Pelodiscus sinensis: one gene and its partners. The protein of the gene in region 1 interacts with the protein of each later gene in a pairwise test. Links are inferred from orthologs where the notes say so. Each region holds a gene or a part of one and is shown in the gene's direction. Other genes may lie near its edges. The genes, in order: GCM2; FHL3; heat shock transcription factor, Y-linked-like; RBPMS.

Evidence for each region.
Region 2: the proteins of GCM2 (region 1) and FHL3 interact in binary tests that used the Homo sapiens proteins (3 or more experiments, as listed by UniProt). The link is inferred for Pelodiscus sinensis from reciprocal best matches to the Homo sapiens genes GCM2 and FHL3.
Region 3: the proteins of GCM2 (region 1) and heat shock transcription factor, Y-linked-like interact in binary tests that used the Homo sapiens proteins (3 or more experiments, as listed by UniProt). The two-hybrid records come from large-scale screens. The link is inferred for Pelodiscus sinensis from reciprocal best matches to the Homo sapiens genes GCM2 and HSFY1.
Region 4: the proteins of GCM2 (region 1) and RBPMS interact in binary tests that used the Homo sapiens proteins (3 or more experiments, as listed by UniProt). The link is inferred for Pelodiscus sinensis from reciprocal best matches to the Homo sapiens genes GCM2 and RBPMS.

What each region holds. Positions count from the first base shown.
Region 1 is NC_134712.1:110,465,149-110,472,569, forward strand, and holds the start of GCM2 (chorion-specific transcription factor GCMb), read left to right. Parts: upstream 1-4,421; 5' UTR 4,422-5,990; coding exon 5,991-6,095; intron 6,096-7,421. UniProt on the Homo sapiens protein: Transcription factor that binds specific sequences on gene promoters and activate their transcription. Through the regulation of gene transcription, may play a role in parathyroid gland development.
Region 2 is NC_134735.1:10,806,851-10,814,678, reverse strand, and holds the start of FHL3 (four and a half LIM domains protein 3), read left to right. Parts: upstream 1-4,828; 5' UTR 4,829-4,966; intron 4,967-7,828. UniProt on the Homo sapiens protein: Recruited by SOX15 to FOXK1 promoters where it acts as a transcriptional coactivator of FOXK1.
Region 3 is NC_134723.1:41,600,532-41,608,140, forward strand, and holds the start of heat shock transcription factor, Y-linked-like, read left to right. Parts: upstream 1-4,605; 5' UTR 4,606-6,011; coding exon 6,012-6,572; intron 6,573-7,506; coding exon 7,507-7,609. Other genes in the region: TMEM185A (transmembrane protein 185A), read left to right, coding at 3,107-3,351.
Region 4 is NC_134715.1:5,179,117-5,186,220, reverse strand, and holds the start of RBPMS (RNA-binding protein with multiple splicing), read left to right. Parts: upstream 1-4,091; 5' UTR 4,092-4,099; coding exon 4,100-4,537; intron 4,538-7,104.

The sequences.
Region 1 (7,421 bases):
TCCTTATTCTGAAACAAACAAAAAAAAATCCCGTAGCGGAACTACAGGCTTGGCTCTTAGTCTCACAGTCGTCCCCCCCATGTGGTAAAGGAAACTGGTCCCAGAGATGGGCTTTCTTCCCCCACCACTGAGCTCCTAGCTGGCTACCGCAGCCCACCGCCTCTCACCATAGAAAAAACTAGGCAGAGAAACGGCAGCAACCTCCCAGGCTGCCAAGTAGCAAAACGCCCCCGCAGGGCGGCCCTTGCAAAGAGCAGCTGTCCGGCTGGGGCGCGTGTGCGCTTCCTGCAGCTTGGCCACTACGCCCTTGCCGCGTGCAGTGGTCAGCACTCCGGCCGGAAGCGGTGCCGCGTTCTCCTCTCCTTGCCCTCTCCCCTAGGAGACGCCGAGTCCCACCTCGCCCGCGCAGGAGGCGCTCGGGGCAGAGGCGCCGCTTGGCCGTTCGAGGTCGGGATGCGCCGCGCGCCTCAGGGGCCCGAAGGGGGCGGCCCCGACACCAGCGGCCTGGAGCGCAGCAGTGAGTGGGGGCGGGGGGACATGGGGCTTGGGAGCATGCCGGGGGCAGGGATTGGCTGGCTGGCTAGAGGTAGCAGGGTCCGGCTTGTCACCTCCAGCTGGACTTCTAGTTCTTTTCCCGGGGGAGATGCGTTGTGGAGGAGACATGAATGGAAAAGGGAAATAAGAACAACCCGGAAAACTACAGAGCGGTCAGTTTAACTTTTGTAAAATACAGGACTATGTAGCACTTTAAAGACTAACAAGATGGTTTATTAGAGGATGAGCTTTCGTGGGCCAGACCCACTTCCTCAGATCAAATAGTGGAAGAAAATAGTCACAACCATATATACCAAAGGATATATGGTTGTGACTATTTTCTTCCACTATTTGATCTGAGGAAGTGGGTCTGGCCCACGAAAGCTCATCCTCTAATAAACCATCTTGTTAGTCTTTAAAGTGCTACATTGTCCTGCATTTTGCTTCAGCTACCCCAGACTAACACGGCTACATTTCTATCATTATTTAACTTTTGTGCCAGGGAAGATACTGGAGGCGGTAATGAAGGAATTCATCTGCAAACACCTGGAAGATAATAAGATGATAGGGAACCGCCAGCATGGATTTGTAAAGAACAAAGCAGGTCAAACCACTCTGATAGCTTTCTGTGGTAGGCTACCAAGCCTTGTGGATAAGGGAGAAGTGGGTGGAGGTGGTATACCTGGACTTTAGCAAAGCAATTGATACAGTTTTGCATGATCTTATTATCAATAAACTAGGGAAATACAACCTATTTAGGGCATAACTGGCTGGCTAACTGTTGTCAGAGAGTCATTATTAATGGTGATAGAGATGTAGCCGTGTTAGTCTGGGGTAGCTGAAGCAAAATGCAGGACAATGTAGCACTTTAAAGACTAACAAGATGGTTTATTAGATGATGAGCTTTCATGGGCCAGACCCACTTCCTCAGATCAAATAGTGGAAGAAAATAGTCATAACCAAAGCTCATCACCTAATAAACCATCTTGTTAGTCTTTAAAGTGCTACATTGTCCTGCATTTTGCTTCATTATTAATGGTTCACAGTTCCGCTGGAAGGGCGTAACAAGCAGTGTTCTGCAGCAGTCTGTTTTGGGACCGGTTCTGTTCAATATCTTCATTGACAATTTGGACGCTGGCATAGAGTGTACACTTATTAAGTTCGCAGATGATACCAACCTGAGAGGGGTTGCAACTGCTTTGGAGGATAGGATCATGTTCAAAATGATCTAGACAAACCAGAGAAATGTTCTGAGGTACATAACATGAAGTTTAATAAGGACAAATGCAAAGTACTCCACTTAGGAAGGAACAATCCGTTCCATACATACAGAATGAGAAGCAACTGTCTAGGAAGGAATACTGCAGAAAGGGATCTAGGGGTCAAAGTGGACTGTAAGCTAAATATGAGTCAACGGTGTGACACTGTTGCAAAAAAAGCAAACATGATTCTGGGATGCATTAACAGGAGTGTTGTGAGCAAGACACAAGAAGTCATTCTTCCGCTCTATTCTGCACTGATTAGGCCTCAGTTGGAGTGTTGTGACCAGTTCTTGGCACCACATTTAAAAAAAGACGTGGAGAAATTGGAGAAGGTCTAGAGACGAGCAACAAAAATGATTAAAGGTCTATTAAATATGAGCTATGAGGAAAGACTGAAAGAATTGGGCTTGTTTAGTTTGGATAAGAGTAGACTGAGAAGGGGATATGATAGCAGTTTTCAAGTATCTTAAAAGGCTGTCACGAGGAGGGAGAAAAAAATGTTCTCCTTGACCTCTGATGTTAGGACAAGAAGCAATGGGCTTAAACTGCAACAAGGGAGGTTTAGGTTGGGCATTAGGAAAAACTTCTTGTCAGTGCAATTAAACACTGGAATAAATTGCATAAGGAAGTTGTGGGATTTACATCACTGGAGATATTTAAGAGCAGGTTAGATAGATATCTGTCAGGGATGAGATGGTGCTTGGTCTTGCCATGGGGGTAGGGAACTGGACTTGATGACCTCTCAAGGTCCCTTTCAGTTCTAGTATTCTGTGATTCTAAGACTACTGGTTGTTACTTATCACTGGGAGCCTCATGCTCTTTGGCTTTGCACATATGTGTAATGCCTGAAGAGGTCTTTTTAGATCATAATGATCATGACATTAGCAATTATTTTATTATTTCAAATGATAGGTTAGTGATCTGACTTTCTTTAATACATCCTAATTGTGTCAAGTGATCTATAGTGCACAATAAAGGTTCTGTCCTGTACCTATTGAAATCAATGGCAAAACTCCAAGGCTACTTCTACACTGGCATGATTTTCCGAAAATGCTTTTTTCCGAAAATGCTTTTAAAAGTTTTCTGTTAAAAGCATTTTCAGAAAAGCACGTCTAGATTGGCAGGGTGCTTTTCCGCAAAAGCACTTTTTGCGGAAAAGCGTCCGTGGCCAATCTAGACGTGGTTTTCCGCAAAAAAAAAAAAAGCCCCGATCGCCTTTTTCGCGATTGGGACTTTTTTGCGGAAAACAGTACTATGCTGTCTACACTGGCCTTTTTGCGCAAAAGTCTTTCGGAAAAAGACTTTTGCCCGAACAGGAGCAGCATAGTTTTTCTGGAAAAGCACTGATGATTTTACATGAGATCGTCAGTGCTTTTCCGGAAATTCAAGCGGCCAGTGTAGACAGCTGGCAAGTTTTTCCGCAAAAGCAGATGATTTTGCGGAAAAACTTGCCAGTCTAGACACAGCCCCATTGATTTCAGTGGTGTTGGATTAGGCCTTTAATACTGTTCATGCTTGTATTTTCAGGAAGCTCCTCTAAACAAATGAGGATACAAGTAGCAGCTTGTGTAATTTTGTGTCTTGGAACCGCTGCAGAGATGAGCAGCAACCCTGTTCCTGTAGTGGGAACTTCTGCGTAGCTGCAAAGCAGTCACATAGCGGAAAAGGCAGATTCCCATTGGTTTCTATTAGAAATTTGCCTGAGGGACAGTGGCCGGATGAGTTGGCTCTGCTAATAGGAAGATACTGACATTAGCAGAGCCTTAGTTCTTCTACAAACTTTGTAGCTGCAGCAGGATACAATGATTCGCTGTACCATGGGGAAAAGAAAAGGATTATATTTAATTGTGAACATATCAGCTTGCAAACAAGGAATACATTGTCAAACCAGGCTTTTTAGCTGATCCGTGTTCTCCAAATAGGGCCTTTGGTAGCATTCCTCTGGGTTCCCTCCTATGTGAGGAGAAATGAGTATGTTTCACCTGCATCCATGGTTCTCTAATGTTCATTCAGAGGTTTGACTAGGTGGAATGTAGGATAAATAGATTTGTAATGTAGGTTCCAGCCAGATGTGTGATTCGCAGTCAGAACTTCTGAAATAACAGACTGAATCAGTTTCACACCAAGATAGAGGTGCACAGTAGCTACTTCACAAACTCCCAAGGAAAGGCAGTAGAACTATTCCTTGTACTGCCAAACTTCAAATAACTACAATGAAACAGTGTTTTTAGTTGCTGCTTAGTGTGATAGCAGCAGCTCCAGAGGAGACTGACCCCTGCCATTGCTTGAAGTACCTTCAAACTGGAAGGGTTGGAGGATCACAGATGCATCATGCCTAGGGATGTTACACTTTGATTAATTGACTAATCCAACAGTCGATGCAATTTGCATCAACTATTCGATTAGTCAATAAGGGTGCCTCTGCCTTTGAAGTGTAGCAATAGTCCCAGGCTGTTACTATACTTCAAAGCGAAAGTGCTGCAGGGAGCATGGGGCCAGCGGGGGACTCAAGCAGTAACCCACTGGCCCCGTGCTCTCCATGGTGTTTCAAAGCAGCAGTGTCGCATGAAGTCCCCAGCTGACCCCGGTCTCCACGTGGCGCTGCCACTTTAAATCTGGCCCTTGACTGCATGTGGCATTTCAAAGCAGCAGTACCATGTGGAGGCCAGGGTCTGGCCCTGGGCTCTACGCAGCATTGCTGCTTTGAAGCAACCCTTCCTCTTCCCCCTGCCTTTTGCTGCCTCTTTCTGATAGAGGCAGCAAGGGAGGAGGGGGAGGAGTGACTAGTCATTCACATCCCTAATCGTGCCCTCCTGAAATTACTGAGCTGGTAAAAATTGGGCAGTTTTTGCTACAAGATCAGCAAAATGCAGCACTATAGAGTTTACACATATGTAAACTCGTGCATTTTAGAGACATTCCAGAATGTGGGTATTTTAAAAAGTCCTCCTCCCCTCTCCCCAACCTCCCGACAAGCATCACATTAGGAACCAGTGTGTACTAGAAAGTAAAATATACTGAACATATTCTTACCAGACAGGCAAAACTTCGGATGCCTGCCATTTGCCTCTCTCAGAACTGGAGGCCCAATGAATAAAGGCTTGCTATAAAGCCAAGAGCCAAGCCATGTTCTTGGTTATTTATTATAGCCATGGCCTCCTTATTAGTCCTAATATCGCATTTCTGTGAGTTAGGTTTTTAGAAATCTATCAGAAAGAGGCAGCAAAGGGCGGGGGGAAGAGGAAGGGTTTAGTATGTGTGTGCAGGTGAGGGGGTATGAACATGTCATTCAGTAGCAATCTACTAGCTGTCAACTTTTAGAACAGTCTGGGAGTCATTCTGCATTACTGATCTGAGGAAAAAACTTCCACTAATGCATGTGAAAGGCCCTGTCAGATTTGAGGATTGTGCCGGGACATGTGCTGTTAGTCTTGTCCTGAGCCTTGTGTCAAAACCAAATAGATAGAAAACAAAATACTTGTGTAAGTAGTTTCGTGTTTTCATCCTGCCACACTCCCAGGTTCCCTAGTGCCAGATCCAAAGCTTAAGATGGTAGTGACTGGCTTCCCTTGGCATAAGTGAATGTTGCAGACAGTTATACAAATGCCCTGGGTGTGACTACCTTGTGGAAGCAGTCCTGCGGCCCTAGCAGTGGAGATGATTGCGCTCCTGGCTAAACACAAGACGGTTTCAATTTAAAAGCAAAGTGGCAGACTGTGAGGCTTGAGGCTGGGTTTGCAGTACTGTAGTACTCCTGCTGCTCCCCTTTGGCCCTTGGCGGCTGGCTCTCATGGTCCAGGACCTTGAGGTCTTCGCGTCTCAGATTCCCAAACTTTTCCTTCATGCTTAGTGACTGGTGGGGAGGAGTCAGCCTTGAAATAAAACACCTCTTCCCCCTCCCCTTGTGTTTAGTACAAGCCAGGCACACGGGAGGGAGATGACAGGCCAAGCAGGAGCCCTGTGTCACATACACGCATAAAAGCAGGAATCAAAGTGTGCAGCGGTCATGAGCTGCCACCTCCTTTCAGCACCGCAGTCCCTGGACAGGGCAAAGTGCAGGGTTGTGCTGTAACAGGCAGCTCAACTCAGACAAGCAGTGGCTGCCTTGCGCTCTGCTGCTCTGGGGCAATTCCGTCTCGGCCCTCCTCGCGTGTTCACACTGCTGCTGTGCAGGGTCCCTGCTGCCAACCTTGGATGACCATGTCCAAGGGTCCGCTGGAGCTCCTCGGAGCTTCGGACTGCATGTGCTCCTACGGGATGAAGCTCACCTGGGACATCAATGACCCTACACTGCCGCAGGTAGGAGGGAGAGGAGGGGGATGGCGCTTTGATTTGAGGAAGCATGGTTTTAATTGCTTGCAGCAGTGCTCTCTGCCTGGCTCCAGCCAGCCCAGAACGAGGAGTCAGACTGGGACCATTCCCAGAACCTCACCTAAACAGCTGCACTTTGTGCACACAGAATTCAAGCACTTGTTTAAATTGAACAGGCTTCAGAACTGGATGGTCCTGGCTGTCCTGGGGCATTTATGAATCCTGTGTCTGGGAGACATCAATTCTGGACTAAAGGTTTTAATAAAGCTGGTTTAAAGCCCAGAGTTTACCTATTGTCAAATTATATGGGTGAGGCTAAGGGAACATGGGGAATGGGCATGTAGACAGCCTGCAATCAGAAATTGTAAAGGAAAGACGCCAAAATTGTTCTTCTGTGAGGTTCCTTTGCTCATTGGTTTTAGTTTTTGTGGCTTCTGGAATTTGTTTGAAAAAAAGACAAGATCTCAGAGATCTGATCGCTGTATTTTAATTCAGTGACAATAAGAAATTATACCTGACTGGTCTCTTTTAAAAGTGATAAACTGTGTATGTTTGGGTTGTTTTATACTGGACAATATCATTTTATATCTGTCTATCAGGCTACTTAAAAACTGAAAAGATATGGTGGAATAATATCTTTTATTGGACCAAAGAGATATGATTTTCAGCTGGACATAGCTGAGAGAGGTATTCAGAAGTACCACACCTGAATGCAAGGCAAAATGTTAAACATGGGGATATACAGTGGTGATTTGTTGAGCAGGATAGTAGACCTCAAAGTCATATTTTAATCCTTCTTTATAATAATATTTGGATGCTTCCATATATATTTAAGTGCTTAGAAAACACTTATGAGTGCCATCAACAGCCCTCCCCCTAAATAATTTTAAAATTAGCTATTACTGTAAGTCCAATGGGGAAATCACTCTCAAAAGTTTCCAGACAAATGTTAAAACAGAAGCGAAGTTTCAGTATCCTTTTCCTATCTAGCTATGAAGAAGGGGAAACTGATCTCAACCTCTCTGAAATCTGTGTTTGACCCACACACATCCTGTGATTGTGACCCCAAGTATGAAAGCTCATGCAATAGAAGATAAAGCTGGAAGAAGAGATTCCTTGATTTTATATACCCAATGTCTCTTTAGCTTCAGTACTTTCAATCTTTTATTGGATTCTATAGAATATAAAGTAGACTTTGTAATAGAATTCAAAACCAAAAGATTTGGAGAATGTTTCCTGCTGTGGAAGAATTCAGTAGTATGGAACATTAGGTGCCTGATATTGCAATAGGTTACTCACACCAAGGGTATGTTT
Region 2 (7,828 bases), on another chromosome or scaffold:
ACCTGGAAATTGGTCTGAGGCAGGCTCCCCCCATGTGGACGTGCCACCTCAATTTAGAGCCCCAGGAAGCATTGGGAAGTAATTACTTTGAATGGCCTGGAGGAGGAGCTATTTCAAAATAGCAGCAGTGGAAAATCCACACCTATTCCAAAATAGCTATTTGGGAAGAGGCATAATTCCTCATGGAATGAGGTTTACAAATGCTGAAATAAGATACATTTGCCTCCATTATCCTAGTTCTATTGTATGTCATGTTTCAGTGTATCTAACATATCAAAATTAGCTGAACGCTTGAAAAGTTATTTCAGAATAATGGGCGTTATTCCAAAACACTGCTAGGCTGTGTCTACACTGGGCCACTTATTCTGGAAAATCAGCCACTTTTCCGGAATAAGCTGCGAGCTGTCTACACTGGCCCTTGAATTTCCGGAAAAGCAACGATGCTCTACTGTACAAAATCAGCCGCTATTCCGGAAAAACTATTCTGCTCCCGCTCGGGCATAAGTCCTTATTCCGGAACACTGTTCCGGAAAAGGGCCAGTGTAGACAGCCCAGTAGTCTACATTGGCCACAGACGCTTTTCCGGAAAAAGGGCTTTTCCAGAAAAGCAGCCTGCCAATGTAGACGCTCCTGTTCCGGAAAAACTGAAAATGGAATAGTATTCCGTTTTAAGCATTTCCGGAAATTTATGCTAGTGTAGACACAGCCCTACTGTGTAGACGTGCCCTAAGGTGCCACTGGACTATTCGTTGTTTCTAACTTACTGAGAACTTAAGTCCATTGAAAGACTTTGCTTTTATCTTATAAGACCGTTGGATCTTACAAATTGTATGGTACATTTTGTTCTTTTGATGTTAAGTGCAAGATATCCTGCCGGCAGGAATCTTCTTCATTCTGGTCTGGATTTTAAGCAAGGATCCCAGTTCTATGAGCTAGTTAGGATAGGCCCCAAAGAACACAAGATGAGTGGGCAAAAGTGGCTGGTAAGCCCCTAATATTAAAATGCTTTTGTGACACATCCTCAGAGGATGTAAATCACAATAGCTCTATTTTAAGTCAATGGAGGTATATCAGTTCAGAGCCTCCGAGGATCTGCCCATTGCATGTTAAAAAAGAAAAATCCCATATTCAAGTAAAATTCACATTGTGCAACGACCGCCTGGCCTTTATGTCATGCACAAGATGAACAAAATGCACTAATTCATTCTTTTGTCTGCGTTTACATGTCAGAAATGGGTGATAGACAAAACCTTTGGAACATAAATTAATATGCGATTGACCTAATTAATTTAGAAAAAGGTAGAAAACTAAGATTTTGTAGAAAAATCTAATTTAATTAGATTTGTACAGGGCAGCTAGCAGCAAAAGAAAACTGCTGCATATGGTTGCCAAGTCTCCTAGAAAGGACGGACAAGATACCATTTGCAGCAATGCTGTCCGGTCCACCTAAGTTGGCAGTCCTCCTGTTGTAGGTCTTTGTGAACTGACTGGTGTGCTAAGGGCTAGAAATAATAGGCAGAGGAATGACCCTTCTGAAGCAAAATCCCACAGTCTATCCAGATCTATTAGATAACCAGCAAAGCTTTTACAAGAGACCCATTTGTTCTTAGATGCTCCTGTTCACTGTAAAGGAGCTGAAGAAACAGTCTGGCCACAAAGCACTCAAGACCCACAGCAATTCAGCAAATCAAAGAGAAACACAAAGATAACTGATGCATCTGACAAAGTGGGTCTTTGCCCACAAAAGCTTATGCTCCAATACATCTGTTAGTCTATAAGGTGCCACAGGACTCCTTGTCGCTTTTGCAGATCCAGACTAACACCGCTACCCCTCTGATACTTGAAAGATAACTGAGGAACTGTAACCAAGGAGGAAGTGGCTAGATGCTTCTTGTATTTACATTGTTAAAATGATTTACAAAAATTCCCATTTTTCAACTGTGGCACTCCGTGATTCCTGGCTTGATGAGCACAAGCAGCTCCCAGCAGGTGGTGCCGCAGGGCAAGCGATAGAGGCGATGGATTGAGAAGTTTTCAAATTCCCTTTAAGGGAAAGGATTTGGTGCGGGAAAAGTTTCACAAGGCTCATTCCCTTTCCAGAAGCCACTAGCTGCTGCCAAGATTTCCCCAAAGTACAGCAGCTAGTATATCTCTCTGATGACCCTCAGAAAGAGAACACTGAGCAGAGCAGCTCCAACTGAAAACTACTGCTACTGTGACATTTTATTATATGTTGTTTGCAGGTTTGTTTCTAGCCATATTGGTCCCTGGAAATTAGAAAAACAAAGTTGGGGATGCAATATCTCTTATTGGGCCAACTTCTGCTGGTGAAAAAAGACAAGCTTTCAAGTGACACAGAGCTCTTCATATTTTCTTTGCATATAAAGTTTAAACTGAACTTAAATTAATTCCCTGGTTCATCTACCATTTTTATATCTGCCTTCCTCCCTTACACAACTCTAGGTTGAACTTTCTTCCTATTTTAAGCAAAACCATTGGGTATTAAACTGAACTGATTCCAAAACAAGCTGAGAGTTTGGGTCTTTAATCACTGTCTGTATGTAAAAACAAAACTTAAAGAATAAAAAGAGACCTTATCCATTCCTTGTCTCTTAAGGAGAGAGTGCTACTGTACAGCAGGTACACTATGTACATGTCCACTTTCTCCAGAGCTGTAAATTAAATGGACATGTTTTGTAAGGCATATTGGAAAACAAGTATGGTAAAAATTGATTACAAAAATTAAGAGTGAATGAACTCATGAATAAGGATCCTAATGTAACTTAAATTCCTCCTGTGGTCTTAGAGAGAGAGGTGGTTTTCTGGCCTATTGCAGAACTGAATTTCTCTGGAAGATAAATTGGAATATTTTCATAACTGTTTTTGTCCATGCTTTGCAAATAATTCCAGCTAAGCCTCAGCTATTACTCACCCAGGGCTATTTATGCAGTGTGGTAAGCCTATCTACTTGGCTTGGAGCAGAGACTACTTTAGGGAAATATTATCAAAGGCTGTGAAAGAACACAATATTACCAACCTCACACACAAACCATAGCCACGGGGAACACTATGAAATCCAAATGTAGCTGTTTTGAGTATCTCACAAGGAATGGCAGGGTAATCTTCCCACACACATTACTCTCTGCCTGTCCATTTCTACACTTTTACATGCTCACCTTTTGCAATGGTATCTGCAGGGTTTCATCTAAGCTCTGCTCAGCTGGTCCCCCTCAAAAAATCAAAAAGGGCAGAGGCTACCTAGCCCATTCCATATCACTAGGATGACTTCCCAAAACATGGCCAGTACACACTGGGAACTAAGACAAAGATGTGAACTGGAGGGTTGGGGGGGGGGGGGGGAGAAAACTGAGCACAATGAGATGGTAACAACTTTCATAGAATACTAGAACTAGAAGGGTCTTTGAGAGGTCATCAAGTCCAGTCCCCTGCCTTCATGGCAGGACCAAGCACCATCTAGATCATCCCTGACAGATGTTTATCCAACCTGCTCTAAAATATCTCCAGTGATGAAGATTCCATAACCTGCTTAGGCAATTTATTTCAGTATTAAACCACCCTCACAGTTAGGAAGTTTTTCCTAATGTCCAACCTAAACCTCCCCTGCTGCAGTTTAAGCCTATTGCTTCTTGTCCTATCGACAGAGGCCCAGGAGAACAATTCCTCATCCCCCTCCTCCCTGTGACACCCTTTTAGTTACCTGAAAACTACTATCATGTCCTCTCTCAGTCTTCTGTTTTCCAAACTAAACAAGCCCAATCCTTCAGGTTTGCTTCATAACTCATGTTTTCTAGACAGACCTTTAATCATTTTTGTTGCTTTTCTCTGGACCTCTCCAATGTCTCCACATCTTTGTTGAAATGTGGTGCACAGAACTGGACACAATACTCCACTTGAGACTTAATTAGCACAAAGTAGAGCAGAAGAATAGCATCTCATATTTTGCTCACAGCACTCCTGTTACTGCAGCCCAGAATCATGTTTTGTTTTTTACAGCAGCATCACACTGTTGACTCATATTTAGCTTGTGGTCCACTATGTGGCTGCCCCCTAAATCCAGAGATTCACTCACTCCTGAGCTGTGGGCAGATTCAAACCTTGGCCTACAGGTGACATGGGCTCAGCCCTAATCCCTGCAGGCCCTAGTTTACGGAGGCTGCTTAGGGTGTATTTACACTGCGCCCGGAGCTTGAAATAAGCTATGTCATTTGAGCTACGCAAATTGCACCGCTTATTTCGAGTCAATGTTGACTTAACGCTTTTTTTCTCACCGAAATTTGGCGCTGCCTACACCGCACTTATTTTGAAATAAAAGGCTCTTCCGAAACGTCCCTTATGCCTCGTGGAATGAGATTTACAGGGACGGCAGTAGAGCGAACCCGTTATATTTCGAAATAACGGGCGCGCTCAAAAGACGCGGGATAAGCTATTTCGGGATGCCCGAAAAATTGCGCTGCAGTGTAGACCGGGCCTTAGAGGAGTTCAGGAATCGGGGAGGAAAGCCGTGGGTTTGATCCAGGTCTGGAATGATCCAGGGCCAGAGGTATCTGCGCATCAGCGCCTTGTGGGCGTTATTTAGTCTGTCCCTAAGTCTGCCAGTCCTTACGGTGCTGGGGGAGAGGGTCTCCAGGGTTAGGCACGCTCTTGTGCCAGTGAATACCCCCGGGACTTTGCATGCCCAGTACCTCCCCCCCAGCCCGTTCCCTGCCTCGCTCCCCCCCAGCACCCTGCCTAGTGCCTTCCCCCAGCGCCGGCCTCGCCCCCTCCGGGCCCTGCACCCCCCTCCCAGCCACAGCAGCTCCGCCCCGCGGGCGGGGCAGGGGCCGGGCTCAGTTTCCCCCGGCGGGGCTGGGCTGGCCCCTTCCGCTGCCAGCGCCTGTCCAGCCGCGCGGCGGGTGAGGAGCAGCCAGCGAGCCCGGCTCGACTCGGCCCGGAGCGTGCGGAGCAGGTGGGGGCGCCCCTGGGGAAAGGGGTTCACCTGGGGGTGGGGAGGGGTCTTTGGGGAGACGGCCCCCCCCCAGCTGCGGAGCCCGGCCCGGGCTGGAAGTCGGGGTGTCGCCTCCCCGATGGGCAGGCTCCTTCCAGCTCCCGTGCCCAGCCGCCAGCTGTCCGGGGCAGGACGGTCCTGGTGCCACCCCACGCGCTATCCACAAGGGGCTGCTGCCCCCTTGCTGGAGCTGAGCCCTCTGCGCTCTCGTGGGAAGGTGCAGGGCACCGGGGGGTACCGCTGCCTTGTGCAGATCTGTGCCCTGATGTGCTGTCTGGGGCCATGGGCAGCAGAGGCAGCGAGCGGCAGGGTCCTGGGGGCGAGGGTTTTGGGAGCATGGGCAAGGTCTGGAAAAGTCCACTCACGCTTCTGTATCTCCCCGGAATATTCCTCATCACCCAGTGATGCTTTTGCTGTCTTGTAAACACCTCAGGAAAGGGTCCGTGCCTCCTGATGAATTGTATAGAACTAGGGGCGCTCACTGAAGATAGAGACAGTCCCCTTCCTTGCAAAATATTTGGGCCAGGAGCAAAATACAGGAGCAGGACATTGGTGTGCTAGTGCCCTTCTTCCAGCTCTGTAAATTGGGCACCGGCAACAAAAAAAGGGGAACTCCTATCTCGGTATGTGTGTCTTCACAGTGCGGGGGGTGGGGGAGTAGGCAGTCTTTCTGACTTACAGAAATGCTTCCTCTTTGTTTTGGGATGCTAGGAAGAGGCATTTTTTCTTTGTTCATCCTTTACTCTGCCTAGTGGAGTTCAAATCGCATGTAGAAGGTGGTAGGACTTGCAAAAGAATATTCACCAGTTGAAAGTAGGAAACTTTCCCTTCCCCGTATATGTGGGGGGGGGGGGGAGGAGGTGTTGGAGGGGGCTAACTCATCAGCTTCTGCAGAATCTAAATTGTCATTGTGTTAAAAAGTTCCTCCTCCTTTTAGCAGTGAAGAAAACTCTGTAAATGTGAGTCTTGTGTCAGACAGCTACAGTGTTCCATAGCTGCTGCTTTATCTTGGACTAAGCTTTTAGAGCAATTAACAAGACTCGAGACAGTTTTTCAGAACTGTGATCAAGGGTGAACTCCAGTTGGCAGTTTAAATTGGGGAAGCAGCAGGGGAGAAGGATCACAAAAACCAGGCGCTGAGGGAGGGGTAGAATATCAGAGGGCCTCTCTTCTATTACTCAGCTGCCAGAGGTGAGCAGGGAAAGATGGGGAGTTGGTTTCAAATGTATCAAATCCATAATAGCCAAATGCTGATACAAAGCACCTTGGTAAGAATCTCTGCACTCTTTTCTTTCCTAGCAGTTGGTAAAGGGAACTTAAAGCTCATCACCTGATAAACCGTCTTGTTAGTCTTTAAAGTGCTACATAGTCCTGTGTTTTGTTTCATCTCTTCCCAGGCTTTGTTTGCACTGCAGGGTTTTTGTGCAAGAAGCTTTTCGCGGAAGAGATCTTCTGCCAAAACTTCTTGCGCAAAAGTGTGTCCACACCTCAAAAGCGCATCGCAAAAGCGATGTGGTTTTGCACAAGAGAGCATCCACACTGCATGGATGCTCTTGCGCAATAAAGCTCCGATGATCAGTCACAGAATGGCCATCAGAGCGCCCGTGCTTTTTCTGATAGGCTCTTTTGGTGCAAGAAACCCCTGCAGAGCATACACATGTGCCTTTTTGTGCAAGAGCTGTAGTGCAAAAAGGAGTTCTGCCTTGAGGGGAGAGGAATAACTCTACCTTGCTTGAGGTGTGGACACTCCACCATTTTTTGCACAAAAATGGCCAGTTTTGCGCCAAAACCTTGTAGTGTAGATATAGCCCCTCTGTTTCCATACTAGCTTCTGGTTAGTACATGTCTACTTAACAACTTCAAGCTCTGTGTTTGGAGCATATTTCACAAGAGGGCTCTGAGGGTAATTTTAACTGTTGCAGAATTTCACTCACATCCATTCCAGAGCAGTGAGTGTTGGTTTATTTCCTGTTACCCACATGTTTAATGCTACTGACTCTGGTTTTGCTCTTTCAAAGTGTTTTCACGTGATTTTAAAGTTTTTTTTATTTTTATTCTTTCACATTTTTGCAAAACGGATGATTACCTGTGACACTTTCCTTCTTGGAGTTTGAATGACTTCAGGGAAATGTAACCAGGGATGAATTTGGCCCCAAATGTCTAATCCGTTAATTATAATCTGTGTTTCTATCCAAGGGTAAGTTCTCAGTTAATTATTCACTTTTTATGAATTGTAATCGTGGCACTGCCCAGCCCTAGCAGAAAAAGATTGGAAAGGAAAATCCTTTTAAGGTGAGTTCCCAGTGTAATTTTCTTAAAGAGAAAGTGTAAATTAAGGGCCAGCGGGGTCACAATGCTTTCATTTTGCAATAAAAGGAAGATGACTACAGTGTGGACATCTGGATTTGTTTTTTGAAATGTCCAAGAAGCTTTGTGGCATTTTCTGAAAGAAATATGAGAAAGGGGAGTATTGTGCCTGCTCTAGTGGAATTGTGCTGGTTAAAGTCCTGAGCCTTAAACTTCATCTTTAATGGAAACAGTCCTGAAACAAGACAACAGACTCAAAAGCTAAACGTAAACCAAATGCTTAAACTGAGTTACTTTGAGAAAGTGTTTGTAGGAGAGGAGGGGGTGGTATTTTGCACGCATCCAGATGGCTCAGTGAAATCAAGACGCTTTGGCTTGCCTAAGACTGGTTATTTTGAGGCCTCAGTTATTTGGCTTTCTAAAATTCACCTGGCCGTTTCTTTTAAACAAAGACAACAGAGAGTTTGCCGCTTTAAGCAACAGATCAGTATCTATTCAAAACATTGTTTTAATAAA
Region 3 (7,609 bases), on another chromosome or scaffold:
CCAGAGCCCACTCCTCCTTTTCTCCCCCCGCCCCCCAACTACCTGCTCCAGGCCACCACCCAAACTCCCTTTCCCCTGGGTCACAACTCCCTCCCAGACCCTGCACCCTCTCTTACACCCTTTCCCTAGGCCAGAAGCCTCTGGCACCCATACCCCCTCCCTGACTCTGCATCCCCTTCCCCTGCCCTAAGTCATCACCCAAACCCTCTGCACCTCATCCCCCAGGTCACAACTCCCTTCAGACCCTGCACCACCTCTTAGGGTCCCTCCCTCAGTCCAGAATCCTCTCCTGCACCCATACTCCCTCCTGGACTCTGCACCCCAAGCCTCTGCCCAAGATCACAGTCCCTTCCTTCACTCAAACTCCCCCTCAGACTCCACACCCCCTCCTGCACTCAGTCTCCTACCCCAACCTCCCTTCTGCACCTAACCTCTGTCCCAGACTCCAGACCGCCTTGGTAGAAATGCAGCCCTTGACCACTCGATAAAATCTTGGAGTGGCCCCCCCATTAAAAATTATTGCCCACCTCTGAACTAGATAGGTGGAGATTAACACAGTGGGCATAGTCAGAAGAAGCTTTGCAGCTTATGACAGTTTTTCCTTATGAGTCACAGGCTGTGTATGTATCCCTTGTTGTGAGTGTCTTTCTGTAATCCATCTAAGTTTGATTTTGACCCCTTAGCTTCTTGGAATCACAATGTCAAAGTCCAACAGAATTAGTTCAGTCCTTAATCCTTCCACAGTAAATTGTGTTTCATATGGTTTATTTTTTATTGTGTAGAGGGTAGGGTTTTTCCCCCCTCCTGTTATGTATGCTGAAGATCCTATAGCATGTATTGTAAGCGGATGGGCTTGTCCTGATGTCCTTAGCCAATATTTTTTCTCCTTCAACCAGAACACAGAATAGCAATGTGCAGTTAGTTGTGACTTCCACTCCAAGGGTAGCTTTATTTAACGATGCAATGTGTGTAAATATTATAAAAACCGTTTGGGATCCTTTTATAGTTGAAAGAGTTTATATTATTTATTATTGTAAACTGAATTGTCTTGTTTTATGTCTCTGTAATCACAACATACACTGACTTTTTTTAAACTTGTTCTTAGATCATAAGTAATTTTTTCATATTCAGCTGCTATATGAGTTCTTGTATTGATTTGGAGGAGTTGGTATATAAATAATGGTGGTGTGAAAATATTTAATGGATTTAGCCCTATAATAAGGAATATCTTAGCTTCATATTCTTTACCAATATGTATTAAAAAGGGCCTTGTGAAGACTTGATCATGAAAGTATTGACTAATTTCTTTTCAGCTAGTATATTCTCAGTGTCTGTAGCTACTTGTTTCATCAAAGCATCTCCAGCATAGGTTTCTTCCCCAGACCTAAGATTTTTGTCTGATATGTTTACTTTAACATCAGACTTCTAACTGTGTTTCTGCTAGTTACAGTAAAACTCCATTGGTCCGGCATCTGACGGTCCGGCACTCCTGATGATCCGGCACCATCAGGAACCCGGAAGTGCTCCGCAGCCGGACCATTGGAGCTGCTCTGCCCCCAGCTTCCCCTATTCAGCCGCTGCTAAAACTGACCAGCGGCTGAATCGGGGAAGCCGGAGGCAGAGCAGCTGGGGCGCTGCCGGGTAGGTCCCCTAGCGCTGCCCCTGGGGGCTGCGGGACCAACCCGGCAGCACCCCAGGCGTCCTGATTCAGCCGCTGCTGAAATTGACCAGCAGCTGATTCCAGGAAGCCTGAGGTAGAGCTGCTCTGCCTCAGGCTTCCTGGAGTCAGCTCTTGGTCAATTTCAGCAGCGTCTGACTTGGGGACGCCTGGGGCAGAGCAGCTGGGGTGCTGCTGGGTTGGTCCCGCAGCGCCGCTCCTCGGCGCTACTGGATCAACCCAGCAGCACTCCAGCTGCTCTGCCCCAGGCATCCCCAAGTCATCTGCTGCTGAAACTGACCAGCGGGGGCTTCCTTGAGTCAGCTGCTGATCAGTATCAGCAACGTCTGACTTGGGGGGACGCCTGAGGCAGAGCAGCTGGGGTGCTACCGGGTTGATCCAGTAGCGCCGAGGAGCGGCGCTGCGGGACCAACCCAGCAGCACCCCAGCTGCTCTGCCCCAGGCGTCCCCAAGAGCAGTTGGGGTGCTGCCTGGTTGGTCTCGCTGCGCCAAGGGTCGGCGTTACCCCGACCAACCCGGCAGCACTCCAGCTGCTCTGCCCCAGGCGTCTCCGATTCAGCCGCTGCTGGTCAGTTTCAGCAGTGGCTGAATCAGGGACGCCTGGGGCAGAGCCGGACTATCGGAAGGGGGGGCTATGAGGGGTCTGGAGTGGTACCCCCCCCTCACCCCAGACCCCTCATAGCCCTCCCTTCCGATAGTCCGGCATATCTAATAATCCAGCACCCCCTGGGTCCCAAAGGTGCCGGATTATCGGAAGTTTACTGTATATAACTTTTTAAACCTGTGTGGGGTTTTTTGTTTGTTTTTTAAGTCTAGAGCCTAAATTGCCTCCTCAACTTTGTGCTTGGAAGAGTAGAGTGGTGGAACATTACAGGGCACAAGTCAGTCTTCACCTGTAGCTGTGACCACAGTGCATTTGCAGTGTAGCTGATGACAACATTAGCTTAGTGTTTAAGGCTATATGCTGTAGATCTAGTAGTGTGTTGTATAACTTTTATTTTATGAGTATGAGTTAGGTAACATAACCCCGGTCATTCCAAATGGACCCCATGTGCTTAACAAACAAATGTACTTAAATTCATTTCAGTTGGAACTTATCTAGGTGAAATATGGCAACCGGTCACCAATCTTAATATCTGTTTGACAAGGATATCATGGAATCTTTAATTGCAAGTAGTCAGGACGTTGGCTTTGTTTTATGTGAAAGATTTGCCTGTAGCAGGTAAAATACTTCTGTATGCCATGCTGTGGGATTAATTAATGGAAGGGTACTATCTACTGAGTCACTAGCACCATGTGTTAGTGTCTAACTATTTATAAACAATATTTATATAAAAGATTTTAGTATAAAAATGAAATGAGTACTTGGTTTTAAAGTGTAATTTCCTTCTTGATTAAAACTGAAACTATTAATTTGGATTTGTCCAGGGTGGTTTGGAATTCGCAAAGATTTCTGTCAATTTCTACTTGAAATTTTCCCATTCTTGAGAGAATATGGAAATATTTCCTATGATCTTCATCACGAAGATAATGAAGAAATGGAAGAAACACCTGTTCCAGAACCTCCCAAAATTGCACCAATGTTCCGAAAAAAGACTGGAGTGGTCATTACACAAAGTCCTGGAAAGTACGTTATTCCACCTCCCAAGCTAAGCATTGATGTGCCAGATTAAAACGAATTTAGAAGATGGACAACTGACAACAAAACTGGAACTAGGAATAAACAACCAAATGTATTTCATCTCAAAAAATGTTCTAATTTCTTTTAAGGATAGGTATTTGTCAGTTAGTGGCTTATAATGTATTACATTGGAGATTTTTAAATGATTTCTTTTGGAGCTTTCCATATTTACTTAATCTCATGGTAGTGAATCCAAATGGGAACACTAGTTAATCTTTTTTTTTTAAATATACCTATAAAGTCATTACCAGAGAAATTAATCCAGTATATCAATTGTAGTGCATGGGGCATTGAAAACTTTTAATATTCTGTAACATGACCTCTGGTAACTCAAATTCAGATTTTTCTACACCTCATTTAAGCATTTTAAGTATTGTGTTCCTAGTGTTATGATCTTTTGTCCCTGAAGATAGGTGGTTGTCTAATCGGTGAACCTTCCTAGTGGATTGGTTATGTGCCTGGCTGTATAGTATTTATACGAACATTGTAGCAATGTAATATATTCTGTTCAAATTCTAGTTCTGTACAGTATAAATATTATGTAAAGGTATTTTTTTAAAAACTTGTATGAAATGCATAGACTATTACAGAGGATGTCTTTCAAGTCTTAAGTATATATTTGGCCTCTCTTGCTGTATGTTGTTTAGATATATGCGTTGGCATGTCTTTACCTGTCATTTCCTATTCAGACATGAACACTATCTTTAACTACAGAGGCACAGGAGCATTGCACTTCTCTGGCAAGACTTGAAGGCTTTTGTTTTATATAGAATGTATAACAGCTTACATGATTTTGACTCAATGTAAATTATTGTGTAAATAATCACAACCGTTGCACTGACTTGTGGGTGGGGGGGTAGATGTTAACTGTGTTGCGTCTTCAAGTTCTGTAGTCATATTTTACCATTAAGCAACACATTATTAGTTATTAGCCCCTTCAGCTGTTTAATAAACTATTTTTTCCTATATTATGTGGAAAATCTATACTTTGTTTTAATTGCTCAGATTTTGTAGATTGTCATCAATTTTACAGCTGACATAAATACCAAGACTGTACTGTTGCATAAACTACCCTATCTTTTGTGAAACACAGGTCAGTCCAAATTATTAAACCCTTTACAAGGAGCTGTGCCATTTTAAATTAGTAAATTCTCTAGAAAAGTTTCTGTTTACTTTGACATTGTCATGAATTTTGGGGGGTGACGGGTGGGTTTTTTTTTCTTTCCCAAACCTCTACTGAGGATGCTTGTAGGTTAGTGAGATTAATCTGAAATTCATGTTACAGTAGTTTGTTCTCTTTGGCAAAGAGATGCTTGTGTTTGCTCTTACAACTCAGTGATAAGTATACACTCTGATATCCATCAGTACTGTTTTTCAAAAAATGGTTGATACAGGAATGACAGGAATGTGGAAACTCATCTCTTCACTATAACCACTAGCCACAGTTAGTTATGCCAGAAGTAGGGAATATATTTGTTCTGACAACTGTAATACTAGTGAGGCAAGTGCTCCCTACTGCATTGCCTTTATTCTTCCATCTACCCGTTTCTCCCCCCATCCATCCCCAGTCTCCCCGGTAATGGGCATTCAGTGGTGGAAGATAGTTCATTATAGGCCACACTGTTCCTCATCTACTGCAGCAAAATTGGGGTTTAGAGGTAGCCTCCTAATAATGCATTTATATCCCACCATCATTGTCCACTTGGACTTGAGAACATGCTCTGCTCGACCTCCTTGAGAGGCCCAGGGAGTAAAAGGCCTTCCATTTGTCCACTGGGCTACCCTACTGGAAAAGAGCAGCCGAAAAAACGCGTAGGTTGAATTCCCACATTCTCACTGGAAGGGAGAACCAATAGGAAGTCAACATCTAATAGACAATCTCCTTTCTCCCCTTCTTTCTCTCTCTTATCCCTGTGACAAGTGCTGGCAGGTGACTTGGTTTGCTCTGTAATGTTACTATCACATAGAAGATGGGCAGTGATGATCAACCTGTGGTGACTTTTTTTCAGATTCTTTCCTTCTGCCTTTTACCAGTACCTCCTTCCCCAGTCTTTGGAGCAGAAAGAGGGTTCTGCAAGAGACCAGAGGGAACAGTCTCCTTTGCAGCTGCTAAATGGAATTGTAAATTCTTATTTTTATATACAGTGTATGTAATTTAAATACTTGTACTCCTATTTTTTTTTTCATACAGCCAGGGTCTGATGGCAAGAACACAGTGTGGGGAATTCTTCACTAGTGAAAGAGGCTCAGTGGAAAGACTAGGCAAATAAATTTCTTCCTTTATTCCCAACAACCGCAGCAGTACAAGCTTCCCTCAGCTCTGTTGTGGAATGACTGCTGTGGGGAGAGGGAGGAATGGATGGTACGGTGCTCTATGTCCAGTTAGTATATGCCTTATTTACATCATGAGACAAAGCTTTTATAGATTAGATCTAATCTCTCGTAAATGATATTTAAATGCTTTTCACTTTAGTGACTTGTCTGGCCATTATTACCTCAATTTGCTAGGAAACCAGTTGTTTTATGATGTCACAGCCACACACCACAAGTATCATTATGATGTTCTAGAACTCTCTACTGAAGTTTCACTTTAAGCTAGCATCATTTTAATATACCACTGTCTAGGAGCATGAAGCTCAACTAATAGCATAAATGGCTACAACTGAAAAAGGTCAAAGCGATAAAGGATTGGAGATGGACCTTCCTATAGCAGAAACATTACATGTTTCAGCTCAGGATGAAATGGTTGATTCTGCTACCTCAATTTCTTCTGCTATTCCATTGTGTGATAAAACAGCAGCTGGTGACTCTGCCTTGAGGTCTATAATAGAAGAAAATGCTTTTCAAGCTCTGAGTGATGGACCATGGGTAAAAAGACCACGTCTTACTCTCTGTGAGGATAATTCCACTGAAGACAATGATTTTTTATCCCTCACCTTTCCAAAGAAACTATGGAAAATTGTTGAAAGTGATCAATTTAAGTCACTTTGGTGGGATGATGATGGAAATTGTGTAGTGATTGATGAAGAGCTCTTTAAAAAGGAGGTGCTAGAAAGGAGAGGCCCTCTGCGAATTTTTGAAACTGATTGCATGAAAAGTTTCATCCGTCAGCTTAATCTCTATGGCTTTAGCAAAATGCGGCAAGATTTTCAAAGGTCTGCCTCACTAGCTGAATTTCTAGCAGAAGAAAAAGCAGCATCTGCTTTTAGCAAGGTAAAATGCCAGTATAGTTTCTCAAAGCTTAAAAGATGCCTATTCTGAAATACATTTAATGAGGGTTTTTTGCATGCACAAAAGTTTTATGCTCATGAAGAGAATCTAGGAATGAGGGTTTTGAAGGCTATTCTGACATCCATAGTTCTCAAAGTATTCTCATGAATGAGTAAAAAAATGTGAATACTAGTTTTTTGCCCAGAAGTGACTATTTCAGTGTGGGTTTTTCCCTGCTCGCCTGAGCCAGTGAAACAGAAATCCTCTCAGCCCCCTTCTCTTTCTCTCTTCTGGTTACTGGTGTACTTCTGGTACTAGGTTTGCATTGCTTTCTTTTCCCACTGGCATTTGCTGAATGCTAGGAAGATGGATATGAGCCATGTGTTACTATTTGAACATTTATGGCCTTTTATCTAAATTACTAAAAGTCAAGGGGACTTGTACTTCTGGACCTAAATCTTTTACATGCTTTAGAAAGTCTCCTACTGTCGGATAATATCCATCCTTTTTGTTTAAACTTTAGTTTCGATACTAGACCCACTTAAGAGATATAATCCATTAAAATATTACCTGTCTGTATTTCTAACACCTTTTAAATTTCAAATTTACCTTTCACCATTTCTGCCATGTTTGCTTTTTGCACTTAATTTGGCTTCTACAGTGAAAGTAAGCTATTCAGGTCCATTTCCTGAGGTTAAACACAATGCTGCAGGAGAATGTTTAAATTCAAAGAATTTTCACTGATTTAAAATGTAATGAAAATACCTCTGTTTCATCATATCTTTTTTGCAGCTTAAAATTGGGGCCAAAATTGTTTGCCAGTGTCCGTTCAATATTAATGTTTGCTTTATGTAGGCAAAAATCTTAGCCAGAATGTGCACTTGACTTTTTTTTATTCTCATAGAGGTGATTAAATCTTTTCCCTTGCTTTATTTAGTTACAGTTCTACCATAACCCGAATTTTAAGAGAGGCTATCCCCACCTCCTTGTAAGATGTAAAAGAAGAGTTGGCATCAAAAATACACCACCAGTTGCTTTCT
Region 4 (7,104 bases), on another chromosome or scaffold:
GAAGAAGGCAGCCAGGGGACCATAGGACGCTACGGCTTGAAAGTTAGTGAAAGAGCCCAGAGACAAGGTGAAGCCGACCCTTTCGCTGAACGTACAGTATGGAAGAAGCCAGTGGTACAGCCTCTGCCCATGCAGACACAGCCCTCCCCCCTGCCCCTTGTGATCCATAGAGCCCCAGGCGTCCTGCACTCCTGCCAGGTGGTCCGTGCGGCTCGGGGAACACTGGACAGCAGAGGCATCCTGCCCAGCCAGTGAACAGGGCAGGAGCAGCTCTCTGCAATTCACTAGGGGTCCTTTCAGCCAGAGCACTCACAATCCGCCCATTCATCCCCCCTCCCGCCAGCACAGGGAAGTAAGAGACACACCTCGCGTCTCCTGCTCTGCCCCACTGCAGCTGCTTAACCCTTCTATGCCTGTGGGGTAGCCACTCCGAGCCGCAGCAGGCCTGTCCTCAGGACTTGTGGGGCCCTACGCCCCAAAGCAGCGGGGGGGGGGGAGAACTTTTAGAGCTGTGAATTTTATACACTTCAGCAACACCCGAATGAAAGTAAATTCAGAACCTGACAGTATATACCTGGAGTTGACAAATGCCTGTTCAGTTACTTCATTCTCCCTTGAATGGCTCTTTCACAGTTTCAATGTCTGTTAACTGCGCTGGCTTTTTCATTTTTACGTTAACTAGATCCTCTCCGGAAGAAGCGGAGTCACAGAACAGCGCTAAGAAGAGGCAGGTGGGTGGATATTAAGACCCACTGGTGCCCCACATTTTTGGGGGCCCTACGCAGCTGCATATTCTGCATATGGGTAAGGCTAGCCCTGAGTCAAGCATATCATTCATAACAGTCCTACACACACGACCCCCCTCCCAATCAGCATACTGCCATGTGCTTGGGCCTGAGATTGCATTAGGCCTGGAGAAATATTTTGTATGGGATGCGAATTGTCTTTCGTCCATTTGTGCAGAGGTGCAATAAGAGAGGTAGCCCCAGAAGCGTGTGCACACAATGTGAGAGAGAAGAGCACAAGAGCATAAGAACGGCCACGCTGAGTCAGATCAAAGGTCCATCCAACCCAGTGCCTGTTTTCCAACCGTGGCCAATACCAGATGCCCCAGAGCGAGGGAACACACCAGGGAATCCTCAAGTGACCCCTTTCCTGTCAGCCATTTCCGGCCTCTGACAAACAGACGCCATCCCTGCCCATCCTGGCTAATAGCCATTGGTGGACCTAACCTCCATGAATTTAATCTAGCTCTTTTTTGAACCCTGTTAGGCTACATCTACACAGCAAAGCTATTTCGGTAGTATCCCGAAATAGCTAATCTGTGTCTTTTGAGCGCGCCAATTATTTTGAAATATAATGGGCTCGCTATTCTGATATCCCTGTAAACCTCGTTCCACAAGGGTTAAGGGATGTTTTGGAATAGTACCTTATTTCCAAAGTTCAAAATAAGCTATTTTGAAATTACCTCGAAATAAGCTACACAATTAGCGCAAATTGCGTAGCTTATTTCAAGGTAAGGGTGCAGCGGAGATGCACCCTTAGGATATGTCTAGACTACATTGCTCTGTCGACGGAGCCATGTAGATGAGTTTACTAGACATAGGAAAATGAAGCGGCGATTTAAATAATCACTGCTTCATTTACATCAAAATGGCCGCCGCGCTGTGCCAATCAGCTTTTTGATGGCACAGCGGGGCAGTCTGGATGCACTGCGGTCGATGTGGGAAGCCTTTGTTGACCACCCCGGTATGCCTCATGAAATGAGGTTTACCGGAGCGGTTGACAAAGGCTTCCCTCATCGACCGCGGCACGTCCAGACTGCCCCGCTGTGCCGCCAAACAGTTGATCGGCACAGCATGGTGGCCATTTTGATGTAAATGCAGCAGTGATTATTTAAATCGCCGCTTCATTTTCCTATGTCTAGTAAACTCATCTACATGGCTCTGTCAATGGAGACATGTAGTCTAGACATACCCTTAAATTCCTGGTCTTCACAACATCCTCTGGCAAGGAGTTTCACAGGTTGACTGTGCACTTCATGAAGAAAAACTTCCTTTTGTTTGTTTTAAAACGGCTTCCCATTAATTTCATTTGGTGACCCCTAGTTCTTATGTTATGGGAACAAGTAAAAAACTTTTCCTTATTTACTTTCTCCATACCTGTCATGATTTTCTATACCTCTATCATCCTCCCCACCTTAATCTCCTCTTCCCTAAGATGAAAAGTCCCAGTCTTTTTAATCTCTTTTCATATGGGATCTGTTCCAAACCCCTCATCATTTTTTTTGCCCTTTTCTGAACTTTTCCAGTGCCAAGATATCCTTTTTGAGATGTGGTGACCACATCTGTATGCAGTATTCAAGATAAAGCAGAGTAGTGTGTTTTTGGGGCCCAGGGCAGGTCACCCCCAACAGTCACCTCTAAGGGAACAAAGCAACACCCACAGGTCGGGGAAGATGCTTCATTTTGGACCCTCCTTCAAGCATCCCCTGGCGCATGGAGACAGACAGCCTGTGCTGCCCTGTGTATCTGCCGTGCTGGCCAAGTTCTGTAAGTGCCACCAGTGTACCAAGGAAGCTGGGTGCTGGGAAGGGGTCTGGGAGGGTGGATAGGTACCCCTCTAGGGAAAGAGGCATATGTTGTATGCTGGGGGGGAGCCCACGGGCCCATTTGTCACCCTTGTCTGTCCCCACCCCAGTGCTGGGACTGTGCTGTGTGACATCTCTCTCTTCTGCAGGGGCCGGCTGAGTTTCAATGAGGTGCCTCTTTCGGCCTTGACAATTGAGGGACTCTCTCCATTGCCCCCGGTGTCAGGGCACTGGAGTGCGGGGGGACTGTCCAGTCTCTCCTCTGCCCTGCTTCCGGCACAGCCACTCTGGTCCGAGCTCAGACTGCCAGCGTTGAAACCAACTGACAGTGTCTTACAGGGACTGTCCTATTGCAACCTGGTCCCTGCCAGCTCTTTCCAGAGCTCCTTGCTGGAGCTGCACACCCGGGCACACCTGCTTACTGTCACCTCTGGACTGCACTCAATGGGCTGAGCTGAGACCAAGGGGGGTTGCGAATCAGTGTTTCCTGAAAGCAATCCAGGAGACATTCAGGTGCAGCCCAGCTCATTAGCAGAGATCTCACAGCAAGTGTTTCTACTGATGGGTGCACAGCTGCTCGTGACGTGGTGCACATAACATTTATTCTGCACAGGTATGGAAAAAGAGGGAACATTGGTAAGGGGGAAGTAATATGTGAATGTGGGGGGCTATGGCTAGATCTTGCAATGGGATCTGTGGAGGCATAGCCTGTTGTCAGGGGAGTGCCCAGCCTTCAGTGGGGCTCAGTGTAGATCCAGCATAGCCCAGGACTGCACCAGTGCTCTCCTGCTCAGGATGCAAGAGGAGAAACTCAGAACAAGTGCAAAGTTGGTTCAATGTAAAGTTGCTCCTTATAATGTGATCCTGTGATTTTCAAAGTACACGTTGCAGCCCAGCGCTGGGTCGTGGGATGCCAGGCACTGGGGTGCCGTGCTGTAGGGTGGCCAGTGAGGGTGCTGAGGCAGGCCCCCTGTCTGTCCTGGCACCAGAAACTGTACTGGGCCCTCGGAAGCGGCCAGCAGAAGGTTTAACTCCTAGGCCAGGTGGCCATGGGACTCCATGTACTGTCCCCACCCCGGGCACCAGATCTGCAGTCTCATTGGCTGTTTCCTGACCAATGGCAGCTGGGGAGGCCCTCACACCTGAGCCCCCACACACCTGAGCAACCCTCACTGATGGGGGGCTCACTCAGAAGGAGACAGACAGTCCCCACGTTCTCCTTGGGCAGAGTCTAGGGGGCCCTGGCCTGGTAGATTTTGTGCGCTCAAGCCCCATGGTGGGGCGGCAGGGACTCCCTGATGGGGGGGGGAGCCCTGAGCCTCAGGGGCTGCATCCGGCCCACGGGCCTGAGGTTCCCCACCTCTGCTCTAGCGAGTGGGGCACCTCGATGTGCAACATTGGCGGCGGGTGCCTGGTGCCTTAGAACAGTACATGGGGGGGAGGTGCCAGGGCCCCAGGGGGCGAGGCCCATTGGCGGCTGGTGCCCAAGGGAGCAGGGTTAGGGGCTGAATGAGTGGCCACAACAGCAGAACCCTCCACCCCCCGGCGGTGAGGCTGCCCTCGGGGCTGCGCCATTGTGACTGGCAGCCCACGAGGGAGCGGGCCCCGGGCGCGCAGGGCCCCACACCCGGCCCCGCCCCGTCCCCACGCCAGGGGGCCGGGAGGCGCTGGCCTCGGAGCGCGCAAGGCGCACGGCCCCCGGACTCCTGCCCCAGCGGCGGCCGCGCTGGCTGCCCCCGCCCCCGCGCCGCTGCTCCCTGCCGGGCCGGGCCGGGCTGGGCCGCCGGGGGCTCAGAGCAGCGCCGCCCGCCCCGCCTGGATGCTGCTGCCAGCGGCAGGGACCAGCCTCTCCGCAGCCGGCTCCGCGCGCCCCGGGACGGCAGCATGAACAGCCTCCCCGCCGACAAGGACAGCGGCCCGGCCGAGCCCAGCCTGCCCGAGGACGAGGTGCGGGACGGGGCCCCGGGGGAGCGGGGCACAGGGTCTGGGGGGGCGGGCGGGCAGTGTGGCTACTGGGGGGAGCGGGGCAGGAGGTGCGGGGGCCGGGGAGCGGGACGGGGTGTGTGGGGAGGCTAGAGGGGAGCGGGGTAGGGGGGCCGGGCGGGGCGTCGAGGGGAGCGGGGCTGGGGCGCAGGGGGAGCGGTGTGGGGGGCTGGGGTGCAGGGGGAGCGGTGTGGGGGGCTGGGGTGCAGGGGGAGCGGTGTGGGGGGCTGGGGCGCAGGGGGAGCGGTGTGGGGGGCTGGGGCGCAGGGGGAGCGGTGTGGGGGGCTGGGGTGCAGGGGGAGCGGTGTGGGGGGCTGGGGCTGGGGGGAGCGGTGTAGGGGGGCCGGGCGGGGGGAGCGGTGTAGGGGCCGGATCCCGGAGGGGAGCGGGGCTGGGGCGCAGGGGGAGCGGTGTAGGGGGGCCGGGCGGGGAGGGGAGCGGTGTGGGGGGCCGGGCGGGGAGGGGAGCGGTGTAGGGGGGCCGGGCGGGGGGAGCGGTGTAGGGGCCGGATCCCGGAGGGGAGCGGGGCTGGGGAGTAGCTAGGAGGCTCCGGAGGTGCCCGCGGTCTGTCCCGGGCGCTCCGGCCGCCCCGCCGGGCTCACTCAGGTGTTTGCTCCGCTCCGGCCGGGCCCCGCCTTCGCCCGCTGCGGGGACGGCGCCCGGGCCGCGGAGCGCCACCTCCGGGGCCGCGCCTTCCCGCTGCCCCCCGCCGCGCAGGGCGGCTCGGCCGGCGGGACTCGTGGTGCCCTGGAGCGCTCAGCTCCCGTGGCCCCGCGCCGCTCGGCTCCAGCTAGAGCCCCCAGCCAGCGTGTGCGGGCTGAGTCCCCCTGCGCGCTGCTGGGGCTGTGTGCCTGGCTGGCACTGCCCTGCCCCGGGCGCTCTGGGGCTGTGTGCCTGGCTGGCACTGCCCTGCCCCGGGCGCTCTGGGGCTGTGTGCCTGGCTGGCACTGCCCTGCCCCGGGCGCTCTGGGGCTGTGTGCCTGGCTGGCACTGCCCTGCCCCGGGCGCTCTGGGGCTGTGTGCCTGGCTGGCACTGCCCTGCCCCGGGCGCTCTGGGGCTGTGTGCCTGGCTGGCACTGCCCTGCCCCGGGCGCTCTGGGGCTGTGTGCCTGGCTGGCACCGTCCTGCCCTGCCCCGGGCGCTCTGGGGCTGTGTGCCTGGCTGGCACTGCCCTGCCCCGGGCGCTCTGGGGCTGTGTGCCTGGCTGGCACTGCCCTGCCCCGGGCGCTCTGGGGCTGTGTGCCTGACTGGCACTGCCTGCCCTGCCCCGGGCGCTCTGGGGCTGTGTGCCTGGCTGGCACTGCCTGCCCTGCCCCGGGCGCTCTGGGGCTGTGTGCCTGGCTGGCACTGCCCGCCCTGCCCCGGGCGCTCTGGGGCTGTGTGCCTGACTGGCACTGCCTGCCCTGCCCCGGGCGCTCTGGGGCTGTGTGCCTGGCTGGCACTGCCTGCCCTGCCCCGGGCGCTCTGGGGCTGTGTGCCTGGCTGGCACTGCCCTGCCCCGGGCGCTCTGGGGCTGTGTGCCTGGCTGGCACTGCCCTGCCCCGGGCGCTCTGGGGCTGTGTGCCTGGCTGGCACTGCCCTGCCCCGGGCGCTCTGGGGCTGTGTGCCTGGCTGGCACTGCCCTGCCCCGGGCGCTCTGGGGCTGTGTGCCTGACTGGCACTGCCTGCCCTGCCCCGGGCGCTCTGGGGCTGTGTGCCTGGCTGGCACTGCCCGCCCTGCCCCGGGCGCTCTGGGGCTGTGTGCCTGGCTGGCACTGCCCTGTCCCGGGCGCTCTGGGGCTGTGTGCCTGGCTGGCACTGCCCGCCCTGCCCCGGGCGCTCTGGGGCTGTGTGCCTGGCTGGCACTGCCCGCCCTGCCCCGGGCGCTCTGGGGCTGTGTGCCTGGCTGGCACTGCCCTGCCCCGGGCGCTCTGGGGCTGTGTGCCTGGCTGGCACTGCCCTGCCCCGGGCGCTCTGGGGCTGTGTGCCTGGCTGGCACTGCCCTGCCCCGGGCGCTCTGGGGCTGTGTGCCTGGCTGGCACCGCCCGCCCTGCCCCGGGCGCTCTGGGGCTGTGTGCCTGGCTGGCACTGCCCGCCCTGCCCCGGGCGCTCTGGGGCTGTGTGCCTGGCTGGCACTGCCCTGCCCCGGGCGCTCTGGGGCTGTGTGCCTGGCTGGCACTGCCCTGCCCCGGGCGCTCTGGGGCTGTGTGCCTGGCTGGCACTGCCTGCCCTGCCCGGCTGGGGGATCCCAGGACAGCACCCAGACAGCAGCAGTGCAGGGGAGTGCCATACGCCCGTTCCAGGAAGCACTGCATGGCAGGGTGAGCAGGGGAGAGGCCCATGCTGTTGTGCGTTGCCAGGGCAGTGCGGTTACATAGGGTCTCCATGCAGTGGAGTGCAGAGGCAGGCACGCCCGGGAGGCGAGGCCTCTCTCAAAGCACACCCCGCACCTACTGCCTGGCCGCATTTCAGGAGGGTTGGTAACTCTGCTTAATTCCTCTCAGTGTGTTTCTGGGGCCAGCCAGGTCAGGCTCACCAGCCCCACCTCACTT